2 linked regions of the Drosophila melanogaster genome follow. The main gene of each other region encodes a partner of the protein of the gene in region 2 in a complex. Each region holds a gene or a part of one and is shown on either strand. Other genes may lie near its edges.

What was found. The genes of interacting proteins can lie anywhere in the genome.
Region 1: YL-1 (region 2) and Nipped-A share a complex: the UniProt entries of both Drosophila melanogaster proteins name them as parts of the tip60 chromatin-remodeling complex.

Annotation. Positions count from the first base shown.
Region 1 is NT_033778.4:5,246,438-5,252,965, reverse strand, and holds the start of Nipped-A (Nipped-A), read left to right. Parts: upstream 1-1,943; 5' UTR 1,944-2,000; coding exon 2,001-2,237; intron 2,238-6,528. UniProt on the Drosophila melanogaster protein: Part of the Tip60 chromatin-remodeling complex which is involved in DNA repair. Upon induction of DNA double-strand breaks, this complex acetylates phosphorylated H2AV in nucleosomes and exchanges it with unmodified H2AV.
Region 2 is NT_033779.5:10,967,408-10,974,548, reverse strand, and holds YL-1 (YL-1), read right to left. Parts: upstream 4,107-7,141; 5' UTR 3,996-4,106; coding exon 3,862-3,995; intron 3,802-3,861; coding exon 3,669-3,801; intron 3,593-3,668; coding exon 3,292-3,592; intron 3,233-3,291; coding exon 2,745-3,232; 3' UTR 2,456-2,744; downstream 1-2,455. Other genes in the region: abo (abnormal oocyte), read left to right, coding at 1-281, 339-1,013; CG16743 (uncharacterized protein), read right to left, coding at 1,319-2,041; Tmem214 (transmembrane protein 214), read left to right, coding at 4,427-4,547, 4,621-4,916, 4,973-5,587, 5,653-5,857, 5,966-6,111. UniProt on the Drosophila melanogaster protein: Part of the Tip60 chromatin-remodeling complex which is involved in DNA repair. Upon induction of DNA double-strand breaks, this complex acetylates phosphorylated H2AV in nucleosomes and exchanges it with unmodified H2AV.

The DNA.
Region 1 (6,528 bases), on a different chromosome or scaffold from region 2:
GAACAGAACTTTAAATCCATGATTCGTAATGCGGCCTAAGGCTTCCGTTGAATTGCATGGATTCTGTGATGCTACCTATCAGTTTGTGGAGCGTGCTTATACTTGCAATCGAAGACTTATAGATAATAGAAAATCCATCTGCCCTGTGCCAAGCCAGGAGTTACTTCACTATGGGCCTTAACAATTCCAAGATTAAAACTTTCCACAGCGGTTTAATTGGCTGATCTATTCGTAAACGTCAAGGAATTAGACTCGTATATTGTGGAGATCCAGGAGATGACGCAAGACATGTCCTGACTTGTCTTGTCGCAAGGATGATTTCGATCAGATTAAATACTAAATACTTGTCTCTCAAACGTTGAGTTCTGCCTCGGCGTCGAGATATATTGTAAAAGCCCGTAGCCATTTCTTCCATTCATTTCGGAGGGTTGCCCGTCGATCGCCTCGCACTGAAACGGTTTTATGACAATGGTTTTATTTCCAATATGGGACCTAGAGTTGGGGTTTATAACGAAAACAACTATTAGATGTTTAATTTGTCTTGTAATTATTACCCATCCCTAATTCAATAATATCCCCGATTTACATTTGGGGATTAGTTGTTTTCGTTTGTTTGTTTGTTGTTTCTTCTTTGGCTTGCGGAGGGTAGCCTGCTCCACCCGACCTTTATATTATTATTATTTTTTTATGGAACTCAGATTAATTACCTAGCTCTTTTCTTAATAGCTGGTAATAATTTCTTTTCTTCTATTTTTAGATTTATTTGTTTATGTGTTTTTATTAATTTCTTTTTTTATATGTTTTGGCTTGTACCACAGCTCCTCTCTGTAGAGCTCGGCTTCAAAATTCTTTATCTTGCTTTTCTTAATATGCTTTGGCTTATACCATTACTCAGCTTATTTATTTCAGTTCACTTGGCTGTCGGTTGAAGTCATTGAAGTCATATTATTAATATTGCCTTCAATAATTAGAAGTCTTGCAGTTCGATCGCTCGATCGACCGCACTGGAGTGTTAGGTGTCAACGTCGCGTTCCGATGCTTAGTTGATTGCAATGCCGGCCGCCACAGGGATCTTTTGAAATATACACTAGTCGGCATAAGTATTTTGACAAAAAAAAGCTGCACACTTGTCAGTGAAACTTTTAAATGGCTTGATATGGTAGTATTGACTATTTTTTATTTTTTGTGTGTAATTAATATAAACTTAAAAATGAACAAACGAAATTGTTTTTATTTAAATTTAAAAAGTTATAAGAAACTTAATGAAATATGATGATTTTTTGTTTCGGCATAAGTAATTTGACAGGCCTTCAATTCAAGGTAAATAAGTCTAAATGAAGCTGGATTAGCTCCTTATTGAAAAAATGAATTTGGTTTATCCGTTTCTTTCGTCATCTATGACGATATGACCCACCATTGAATATTGAATATTGAATATTGAAATATTGGCACTCCTTTATTTATTATACCATTGAAGTAATAATCCGAGCATTTCGACCGACTATATTAAAGAACATAATAAAAAATCTAGTTATACCGAATTATTACTACATCCACAAATAAACGGAGCTAAATGTTCTTGTGATTAAATCCATCACTAACAATACACATTATTTAGTATTTTGTATGTTGATTTCCCTACACGTAAATATTTATAGAATAACACAGTTATTGAAATAAAATAGCAATAAAAAACATTTAAATTTAACTTAAAGATAGACAAGCCTGTATCCTGCAGTAAACATGCAAATAAGATGGAATTAATTCCGTGCCAATTTTTAACACTGAAGGTTGTGAAAGGTTTAATATAGATGCATCTCTGTGGGAGCTCTATATTATATAAAAAATTGAAGCATTTCTAAAATATTTTTGCGTTCCTGTTTCAAAATTTCTTATATGCTATCTTGACAAACAATTAAATCGAATATATCGGTCATACAATTTCCGACTATTCCTTTTTGTTTACAGCGGTCAAGTTGTTGAACGAGTTAAAAGGCACAATGTCGGTTATTGAAAATGTACCGGTGAATACATTTCGGAATTATTTAAATATTTTAAATGATTCCTCTTCTAAAGACGAACTTAAGCTGAAAGCTACTCAAGAGCTAAGTGAACACTTTGAAATGATAATGCAAAGTCCGGCATATCCGTCGTTCTTAGATAATTCTTTAAAAATATTTATGCGGATACTTCAGGATGGCGAACCTCAGTTCATTCAAGAAAATACAATGCAACACGTAAGTTTTAAAATTCACCATTGCATGGGCCTTAAATGAAGAAACCATGTTTGGTTGAAATAACTGTCAATGAATTTCGGCTTAAATATATGTAGTTATCTTTTAAAATGCAAAGTTGAAAATATTTTGTGTTTACATTTGTAACTCCCAATAATCGGAACTTTTATGTTTGTACAATACAATTATTTTATTAATATATTTTATATACTTATTTATGTAAAGCTATCTATATAGTACTATAGGGAAACCTTTCGGTGCCCTAGTAACAATCTTTTAAAACTGAAAACCACTGTTTCTGATATTTAAAACGACCGTGCATTGTGTTTGTGCTACGCAACTTTAAGTTTTGCGCAGATATTATGCATACATTGCCAGAAGAAGTATTATTTAAAGCATAACTTTGATTGCAAAAAAAGAGTATATTTTTATTATCGATGTCGACTTCATTAATTTTAAAATTTGAAACACATTTATTATTTATTACGTCCGTAGGTTTTCTTAGGTAGTATTATGTTTGGCAAACCAATAAAAATTTGAAAGTCACATAAAATAAAAAATTCAACAGATTTCTCAAATATGTGGGCGTGGGGTGTTTTGAACAGCTTGCCGGCGGGGTAACATGCGACTAAGTCTCTGTAGACTCGGCTAGTGATCCTGATCAGCGGAAGTTTCTTAACCCATGTTGTCTGGGGCCTGCTTACATATTCAGCACTGTTCTCAGATAAAAGAATAAGCAGAGAGGGAGACTCCACCTAATGCAAACAAGCAGTATCCAAAGCGGAGTTACCGAATAATGTAAACTAAAGGTTTTTTTTTTGCTTTTACTCTACGAGCAACGGGTATAATCATATATAATAAAATATGTCATCAAAGTTAGGCTTTAAGTGTTTACGCTGATACGGATGATACTGTTCCATAATGACTCCATTTTGCATCAGTTGGCGGTGGCTATATCTGGCACGGATTAGAAGATTTTTAATGTGCCTTCTTATATTCACCCGCCTCACATCTCAAATCTAAGAAATAAATTTTACTAGAGTTTTGTCCAATGATGTCCGAAACGTGCGATCAAAAAAGGGAAAAAATATCATTGTTTTAAGACATTGCATGGATATACTTTTTTGCGGGATAAGGAAAATAATGGTTTATACGAGATTATGCTGCAATCTACAATGTCGCCGTAGAACCTGTTTGCGTAGTACCGCCTCAAATTGAAAAGGAGCAGATTTTTGCAAACTCGCATTGACTTTTTGGGACATGCCATTGAAGGTGGGCAAATGTGGCAGGCCAAAAAATATTAAAGCTGTACAATCATTTCTGGGGCTAACAGGATTTTTCAGAAAATTTGTTCCAGGATATGCTTTAATCGCGCGTCCGCTGAAAATTTTTTTTGAAAAAAGATGCACTTTTCTACATTGGTGAACATTAAGCCATACAGCAATTAAAAGACGACTCAGACATTCCCGTACGGCAAATTTACACAAGAGATGCAGAGACAGAACTACACAGTGGCTCTTTAAAGGATGAATTTGGAGCTGTGTTGCGGCAGATGGTGGACGGCAGTTTTCATCCGGTTTATTATTGGAGCAGGAAGACTTCCGAAGCCGAATGAAAGCGACATAGCTATTACTAAGAAGACAAAGCAGCGTACATAGGTATGAAGAAGTTTCGTCACTACCTGCTAGGAATATAGTTCAAGCTCATTACAGATTGTGTCGCTTTTTAGCAGACTACAACCAAACAAGACGTACCGAGAGATGTAGGACCATGGATTATGTAAATTCAAGACTTCACTTTTACAGTAGAACACCGTGCCGCAGAAAAAATTAAGCATGTTGACTGCCTTAGTCGCTTTCCATAGAGTATGAGGGTTACTACAGAGATTACGTATTAAAAAAGCCCAGCAGGACGACGATTACACGACTGGTCAAGTATTTTTGGCTTTCCAACATGTATTGTAATCGATACAGGCTCAGCATTTACCTCGATTGCGTAAAAGGAGTTCACAGAAAGGCATAATGTAAAGCATGTATGTATAACGAAAGGAGAGGCAATGGCCAAATATTGTAGAAAATGTAAATCAATTTTGGCAATCATATCCAAGCTGTCGGCAGCGGAACCATCCAAGTGGGTCAAATATGTAATGGAAGTACAACAAATAACGGAAGCTGCTGTCCGTGAGGTTGGAGATAATCGATGAGCTTCAGAAACAGAAAAATCTCAACGAGCTCGAAGAACTGGCTTTTTACGAAATTGGAAATAATTTGATGTATTCTCGTGACTCTTAAATCCTCTGTTCGGGGGAGTTTTTAAACTGGAAATATCGAACAAATCGCTGAATTGCAATATCGCCCAAGTAATAGCTGGACACGCCGAGTCAGCCCAAATAGGAGGAGCATTTGGAAGACTTGAAGCAGCAGGACTCTGGAGACTGGATTTCGCATTGGCAAGCTATGCGCCATAGGTAGAATGTAATACAACATCTGAGTTCCGTAGTTCCGCCCTTCTTGCCCCAAGTCTCAGCCCTTCAACATGTGCCTTCTGTAATGCTCCTGGGAGCGCCCTAAAAACCTGACCCCGTCTGATCAATTAAAATTAGCAAAAAGGTTCGAACTTTTTTCTGATTCACATCTGCACTCTGCGTAACGTCTGCTACTCTTCTTGCTCAGAATCTTAGTAAGGATGTTATGCTCGTAGCCACTGCCACCGTATTAGCGATGAACCGATTAGGAACATTTGTTTCTTGTCGCGCTCTTCTCGACTCTGGATCTCAACTGCACCTTATCCATCCATATTTGCATATCAGCTTTAACTTAAGAAGACGAAACCGGAGTACCGGAGTAGGCGATTTCAGTTTTGATACACATGGTTCGTCATTAAATATTTCAATGTGAACTCAAACGTCTAAATGCTCGACCGACATCACTTATGTTATTGTCTCCAATATTACCTCATGTCAGCGCAAACAAAACATTCGAAATCGCTATACAAATAAATCGACTTTTTATTTCTCGAAAAAATCGAATAAAAAGCTATTTAGCTGATTTGATATATGAAAACACGTGGCAGATGTAGCGGCTAATTCTTGATCTGATGATTTCTTAGTACAGGTAGTTTACCTTGCGAAAACAATGGATTCGTTTGGTGGATTTCTCTGATTTTTCTTTTATTACGATACATGTGTCGATTGTCACATCAAAAGTAGTATGATATGGATCTTCAGGTTGAGTAAGATGTGCTACACTGGGCAAAAACACACTTTCAGGGTTGTTGCAAGACATGCACCATTTTATCACGTAGCCAATACGTCATTTTTGGCTTTATAACCCTTTGGCATTTATTCTGAAAGCGCACAACTTTTGTATCCATATTTTTTCAATTCGGACCACTTTACAAAAACACAGAATCAAAACATTCAAGCAGGCTGTTGTACCGCAAATGAGCAGTCTGTCCGCGTAGAACTTTAGATTTTGTGTGGGAGACCGAGAAAATGGGTGCACAGTGCACTTTATGTGCCTACCAAAAATAACGCCAAACAGCACTGCGGACAACGCATGAAAACCAAGAGAGGATGCTATAGTCGAGTTTCCCGACTACCAAATACCCGATACTCAGCTAGTGGAAATGCAAACTCGAAATTTCATAATTTCTGGGATCTCGATAGATTTTGGTGAATAAAATGAGAAGAAATTTAAAAATTGTTCAAAAGTGTGGGCGTGGCAGTTCTGGGCGTTCTAGTGGACGTGGCAACATGGGTCAGCCAACTTGCGCTGCGCCATTGTCTTTAGAATCTAAATACTTAATCCCAACCTCCTAGCTTTTATAGTTCCTGAGATTCCGACGTTCATACGAACGGACGGACAGGATCAAATCGGTTCGGCTACTGATCCTGATCAAAAATATATATATTTTATATGGTCGGAAACAATTCTGTCACATAATTTTCAACGAATGTAGCTTACCCTTTTACACTACGATTTACGGGTATACCAAGTGAGTGTGCTATAGTCGAGTTTCCCGGCTATCTGATAGTGGAAGTAAGAATGTGAAAAGTTAAAAAAAAGGTTCAAAATTGTGGTTATGGCGGGTTTGACACTCCCACTCTAACGCCAACAAATCACTCAACACTGCCACGCCAAGACTTTTAAACAATTTTAAATTTTTTCTCATTGAAAAAGGTCACCTTTTTTATTTGTTGAAATTTTCTAATTATATTATCAAAACCGGACGCAGAAAAAATATTTCGATTTTACCTAATCCAGCTTCTTTGAGCTTTTGGCTTCGGTCTTTG
Region 2 (7,141 bases):
CCGTGTTTGGCTCAACAGTGATGATGATGTCCCGGCTGCATCAGTGCGTTTACGTCTATTGGGTGAATGACGGTAAGTTCCACCAGCAGGAGACTATTGGTCCCAGGCCGAGGGACTTTATCGAGAAGGCTACCACAGACTTTGACAATCTTGACGCCACCACAGTTTTGCCCATAACGCACATTAAACAGCGCGTCCTTAGCTTTCTGTACCGTAAAATTAATGATAAAAGTGGCAACCCGACGGAAAGTCAGAAGTCGTTTTATAAAAACTTTGAGTATGTAAGTAACATTATAAAGAGTGACAACGGTCTTCACATCCTTACATATCTCATTTAGATAGAACACATGATCATGGAGAGAATGCATCTGGTGAACAATGAACTTCTAATGTTGCGCTATGAAGAGCGGCCAAATGGTACCGATACCATGCCCATGGCTACATCACCGCGCCGCTTGTATGTATTCTACACCATAACTGGCGAAGAAGTGGTTGGCGTTTATCCGGAATATTCCGTCAACCTGCTGCAAATCTTACTGCAATTCAATGACTACATGAGCAATGATCGATCGCTGCAATTCGGTGATGCACCTTCATTGCCCATGCATTTTTTCCTAAGGCATACCTTTGCGGATTCCAATGAATCGGTCTCCGTCGATCGACATACGGCCTTGCGCTTCAACCCCAGCGTTCCACTCAGCTCCCAGAGCCTTTCCTCGTCGCCCTATCTAAAGTTCAACGAATTTAGATACGACAGTCGGTACGTGTCTCCTCTGGAGCAACCCCATCGCTGCTGCAACGATCCTATTGTGTTTCTTGACCGTGCCACGGATTCAATCAAGTTTAGACTGCACGCTACGGCCCGCCGGCATTTAAATCCTTTGGCGCCACGGGAATTGTGCGCCTTTATTTGGCATCCCTTTGACCCACTAGTGCTCAGTATCCAGAAATGCATGAACAGCTACGTCTACCACGTGCACTTGTATAACCACAGCACAATAGTGGAAAAGTAGACTGCCTAATATGTACATACATGATTTTGTACATTTGTGTATAAAACATATTCAAGTACCTTTTATATTATGAAATATATGTGATACTAAAATATCTCGTTTTACCTTTTCAGTAATGTCTTTATTTACAATGGTAAGAGAACATTTCTTTCTTTTATTTAATCAAAGACTGTGAAAATTGTGAAAATTCCAAGTACTGTTTAAATCTTTAATTCGACTTTGCTACATTGTATTGAAGGCCGACTTGAAACTTGAGGCCCAATCCGACGTTTAAAGTTTCATGTAACATTGTATCTCGACTGCGACTACGTTGAAGATTGGTGGTGACCGTCCTCGTTGTATTCCTTGTTGACCTTAAGGGAATGATTAATAACGCTCGAGCCGCCTGGAGGATAGTTCGGGGCAGGCCCTGATCCCGGGCCGCTGGCAGGCTGCTGTGCCTGAGGCTGATTGGGGATCGCATTTGGGTTGTTAACTGGATTCTGTCCGGGAGCCCCCTGCGGTGGATAGCCGCCTGGATATCCGGACGGGTCGGGTGGATACATTGATGGTGGCGGAGCTTGTTGCGGGTGTGGCGGTGGTGGTGGTGGTGGGGGCATGTACAGATTGTAGGGATATGAAGGATAGCCTCCCATTTGAGGATACGGAGGATACGGCATGTACGGATTGTAGAGATATGAAGGATAGCCTCCCATTTCTTGATACGGAGGATAGCCCGGATTAGGATATGCAGGATAATTGTACTTGTGCTCCGTCTTGGAGTGCTTGTGCTTCTTCTCTCCACTGCTGCTGCTGCTGCTGTCGCTGCTATCGCTGTCCGTCCTAACCACTTCGTACTGAAGTAGCAGTACCAGAAGGACTCCAATCGCCGCACAGCTCTTCATTTCTCCGTTTAAACGCACGACGTTCGTTTGATCTAAGCTCACGGGTATGACTAAATCTTGCTCACACAATACCTTGTCCCGTTCCCGTTCCGACAATTCAAATAGCCAGCGCGTGCGTTGATTTTGATAAGTCGACAAAAACATACAGATGCGACAAGGTTGCGGCAGGGCCCACTCAACTAATTCCCTGTAAGAGTTTAGGATTGAAAAACAATTTCATTCGGAAATGAACAATACTTCGCCCATAGATTATAAATAGAGAATACAATGGGTTAATAATTTATGTGATGTAATGTCTCATACTTATTAATTAGTTATTGTGTGTCGGAACAACCGCATTTCCTCCAGATTTTGTTATATATTGCAAAGAGAGGCTGTGTGCTTATCAATTTGACGCAAATTAAGCGAAACAATTCTTTTGAATAATCTTAATAGAAGACTGCGACGCTTTTATTATTTAGACAACTAAACTTTTAAATAGAGCGGCAATTAAAATTAGATACTAAAAGGTAATAAATGGGTTTTACATATACAAATTGGATTAGCAAGATAAACTTTCTTTTGTGTAAACTGTTTTATCAACTTCTTAAGTTAATAAACCGGATGCTGCTGATAAATAAAATCAAAACAGACTGTGCGTTGATTATAAATACTTTTTAAAGATAACGTTTTGGGAAATACCCTATGTACTACTTTTCCATTGTCGCCATTGTATGAAATATATTAGGTAATCGTTTGGTACTGCCTGAAATTGACGAGGGTTGTCCAAAGAGTAGTTTGTGATTTCTTATACCTTTTTATTCGAAAAATACGTATAGCTTAATGAACTATAAAATTGATAGCATTATTAGTTATCTCCGTTTTTGCTGGCAGCTGCCGAAGCCTTCAGACGATTCTCCTTGACCAGCTTGCGCCATTCCAGCCATTTGGCCAGTTCGGGTTGCTCGCTGCCGCCGCCTTGCTGTTCCAGCTGCATGTAGTAGGCTTCGCGCAGAATTTTGAAGGCCTGGATGCTGTAGTATGGCTGCTGTGTGATCGGGTCAAAGTAACGGGCTGGCAGCCTGGTGATTGGACAGATGCCATTGCTGGCTTTGGGAGGCGCCTTGTGGCGGAAGAGGCTTTGAAACACCTTGTCATTGAAATCGTTCTCGATTGTAACGAATGTGCGTTCGCACTTCCCAGCAAGATCCTTTGAATCGACCGCAGGGTTTGCTCCGCGAGTGGGCTTTCGCATCGCTGGCATGGTTAGTGAGTGGTAGCGTATCGTGGGTCCGGAGAACGTGCGCTTGGTGGGACGTGATTTCTTCTTCTCCAGCTCCATTTTCTGGAATTTCTCTGTGAATGCAACAGCAAATTGTAAAATAGCTGCTTCCTTGGTTGCTTTAGATACCCACCCAAAGATTTAGTGTTTTCTTCCTCGGTTATTTTGGCCTCCTCCAGCAGCTCCTCCTGCGTGGGCATGTAGTCCTCCACGCGCACCTTCTTCTTTTTGCGCTTGCGGGCATCGTCCAACTCTTTGAGGCGTATTTTGGTAGCCTGTGTCTTGATGGCCGTGGAAGTGCGTATGGATTTGCGGCCGGAATCGAGGACCGTGAAGCGTGGACGTGGCCGCCGTTTCGTTACCCCACCACCAGGTCGTTTCTTGTGCAGGGCCGGCGTTGCCTTTGTTTCCTTTTTGACTGCAGGCTTGGTTTCCTGCGGAAATCATATGTACCATTTAAACACATTCAGTAATCACAGGATTTTATCGCATTTTAAGAATGGTTCGCACCTTATAAGCCTTTGTGTTAACGACACCGCGTTTCCGCTTTTTCTCGGGCGCCTCTTCCTGATCCGAAACGGGCTCGTCGTTCTCATCGATACTGAAGTCGGAGTCAACCACATCTTCCTCTTCGTCTTTTTGCCTGCAGAGTGAATTTTATATGGCTTGAGCATTTAAATTTATTCAAATGATTAGTGCTCACTCGTATTCCTTATCCTCTTCGTCCTCCTGAAATCCACCATAGGACGTTTTGTAAAAGTCGTCCTCCTCTTCCTCATTGAGCAAATGAGCTATTTTGTTGCCGGCATTGTTGCGCCGTGATCGCGAGGCAGCCATTTTTGTTATTTATATATAGAAACTATGATTTAAAGCAGCTATTAAATAATAATATTTTACAATTTGTAAATGTAAACAAGCAGAGCAGTGTGACCAATGTAGCAAACATAGTATATATCGCAGAGGCTTTACAACTTTGGTATGCGTTTCAGCCCTGGTAAAGAAAATGGTTTCTCCTGCATTGGCAGTTATTCAAACACATTTAAAACATAGCTAAATTTATTTATTTATCTATTACATGTATCACAACAAAAAGCAGGCAGCTGCTTTAAAATCACATTAAAAAGCGGTCGGTAATTCAACTACCGAAAGTAGACCACATTACTTTACACTTGCGCTGGCCACACTCTTGGCTTGTTGCTTTTTATTCTGCCGGCTGCCTGCATTTTCTGATTTAATTTAATACCATCGATAAAAAGACTGCTCGCAACATGTCGGAACAATGGGAGGTGGTCTCCAAGTCGCGCAAGCAAAAGAATCTGGACAAGAAGGTGTCTGCACACAACGAGCAGAAGCGCATCGCGGCCCAGTTGCCCAAACTGGAGGAGCTGTGTAAGAATCTTTTAAAAGGTGCACCTTGCAATGCGATTACATGTTTGCCCCTGCCATTTTATTCACTTCGCAGTGCCAACTCAGCGGTATCGCAATTTGTTCGGCAGCAGCAACAACAACAACAGCAAGTCCCATTCCCCTGCGAAATCTAGTTCAAGTGCCTCATCTTCCTCAAAAGCCAATAAGTCGCCAGTTAAAAAGCACACCGCAAAGAATGCCTCTACCCAAAAAAGGACCACGTCGGCAGCCGCATCGAAGCCAAAGACTCTGGAGCTGGCCTTGAGAAACATCACCCGGGATGATTTTGCTGCCCAACTGGAGCAGGTGAAGCTCAGTTGTCCTGGCTCCGAGCTGCGCTGGTTAAGCCATGTATGTTTCTAAAGGAAATGTGCCTAAATATTTGCTCACCTATCGTTGTCCCCCAGATTGCGCTATACTTCAATGAAGCCTTGTCCTATGACTGCGATCCCATCTTCTCCGGCCGCTCGGCTCAGTATCCCAGCAATTTGGCCAGCGCCTCGCTCAAGTACTCAATTGTGGAGTTTCTGGGCAGTGTGGGCGAACAAAACCTGGAGTATTTCTTCTACTCCCTGCTGGATAGCATGTCAACGGATCTAAACAACAATCAGACAGTGGCAGGCTACAAGCTCATCCTACAGTTGATCGGTCAAAACTGGCCGAACATTTGTTCTAGGAACCTGGCCAAGACTGCGTTGCTAAGGAACTCCTATCAGAACCGTAGCAACATCTGCCTGAGCATCCTGTGGGCAATTGGACAAGGTGGCTATCAGTCCCTAAACGAGGGCGTTCGCGTGTGGCAGAACCTGATGCTGCCCAACCTGGAGCTAAAGCAGTACACCAAGTTTGTGGTCGAGTATATGGAGCGGGCTCTGAGTGCAGCAGCTGTCCGGAAGACAGCGGATCCTCTGCAGATCAACCAGCAGGAGTTCTTTGCCACTTACAATGCGCTCAATGCACCCTATAACCACCTGCCCAAGGAATGGCAGCAAAGTCTGAAGCGTAGTGCGCGTTTGTTGCTTGTAAGGACGAAAACAATTGATAGTTGTCCCATTGTTTCACTGACCTTTCTTCCTCCTGTGTGTAGCAACACTATATCAACAGTCCTGTGAGGCATGCCAACATATTCCTTACGCTCTTCCGGGAAATAAGCGCCGGATCCAAGCAGACTAATGAGATCGAAGGCTGTATTAGTTGTCTGCTCAGCAGCGGCAGAGATGATTGCCTCAGGGTGTGGCGCATGAACTACAAGAAGCAACAGTTGCCTAGTCTACTGCTTCTGAAAGCTATAAGTACGATCTACAGCTGTGAAAATTCATTTAATTGGATTTTTGTTTAAAAGTACCACCCACACTTAACGTTAATGTGTTATCTAATATTGAATTTCTATCTTTTCCTAGACGACAATTGGACCACGTCTACCCATGAGTTGGCTACGTCGACTGTGTATCACTCTTTTCTGCAAGATGTGGCGAATCTGAACGAAGAACTGCAGGGAAGCAAGAGAAACGAAGGTCACCTAGATGATTTAAAGGAGGTTTTGTTGGTGAGTGCGACTTAAGTATATCACTCGATTCCAAGCATAAGGCTCTGATCCCAGATCGATAAAAGGTGAATGTTGAATGTGTGTTGTTTTATCTTTTATAGTTTTATTGGAAAACTAGTATATAGGTAATATATTTATTTTGTTAGCTTTTTTAACCCAAACTTATTATTCAAACTTAAATGAAATCAGAAACACTATAAATTTGAATTTTCTCACACCTCTGGTAACACTGTTTAAGTTAAGTGGTCTGGCTTAGTACATTACGTACTCTGGTCACATTGCTTTAGTGAAAAGAAAAACGAAGGTATAAACTTGTAGAACTGCCGTCTAAAAGTGAATAATTTATTGCAATCGGTGCTAAAAAGAATGATATGAGCTTATTACACTGCAGCTAACTAATGTAAAACTCTTCACGTAGAAGTGGCCGAACTGTTAGCCGTTAATGAAGTTAGAGTTCTTTAGGAGGACGCTGCCAACGCGACGTCGCTGCGGGAAAGAGATGGAAAGCGTTAGCCGGCGTTCGTCCGAAATTTCTCCGCTATTCAACTGGCTTTTGAAGCCTGGAGTGAGCATAAATTAATGGTCCGCACCTTAATTATCGCGTTGTCGCAATTATTGTTGCTGTTGCAGTAGTGCAAAGTGCGTTTCGTGCATATGTGTGCGTGTCAGTATTAACGGTTGTGTATTCCGCCGTTCTGCACTGGTATTGGTGGCAGCTATAGCTGCACTTTTCCCATAGCGTTGCCATGCGGGTTCCAGTTGCCGCTAAATTTCTCCGAGCAGAGCAGACGTTTTGCTTTCGAAAAGAGAGTGGGCATGGCCATCGGGGATCATAAATTGCCGCATTATCAGCCAACATTCTTATCAGTACACCCAATTTTCGGCTGATCTGAGGCTTATTTTTATTTTCCTATTGACTGATGTGTTCCAGCTGCGATTGGCCACTCGCCTCCTGCTCCCTCACCCACTCCCCTCTCACATCCCGCTTGTGCGCACTCTCCTCCTCTCTTCGCCTCTTCTCCGCACTCTC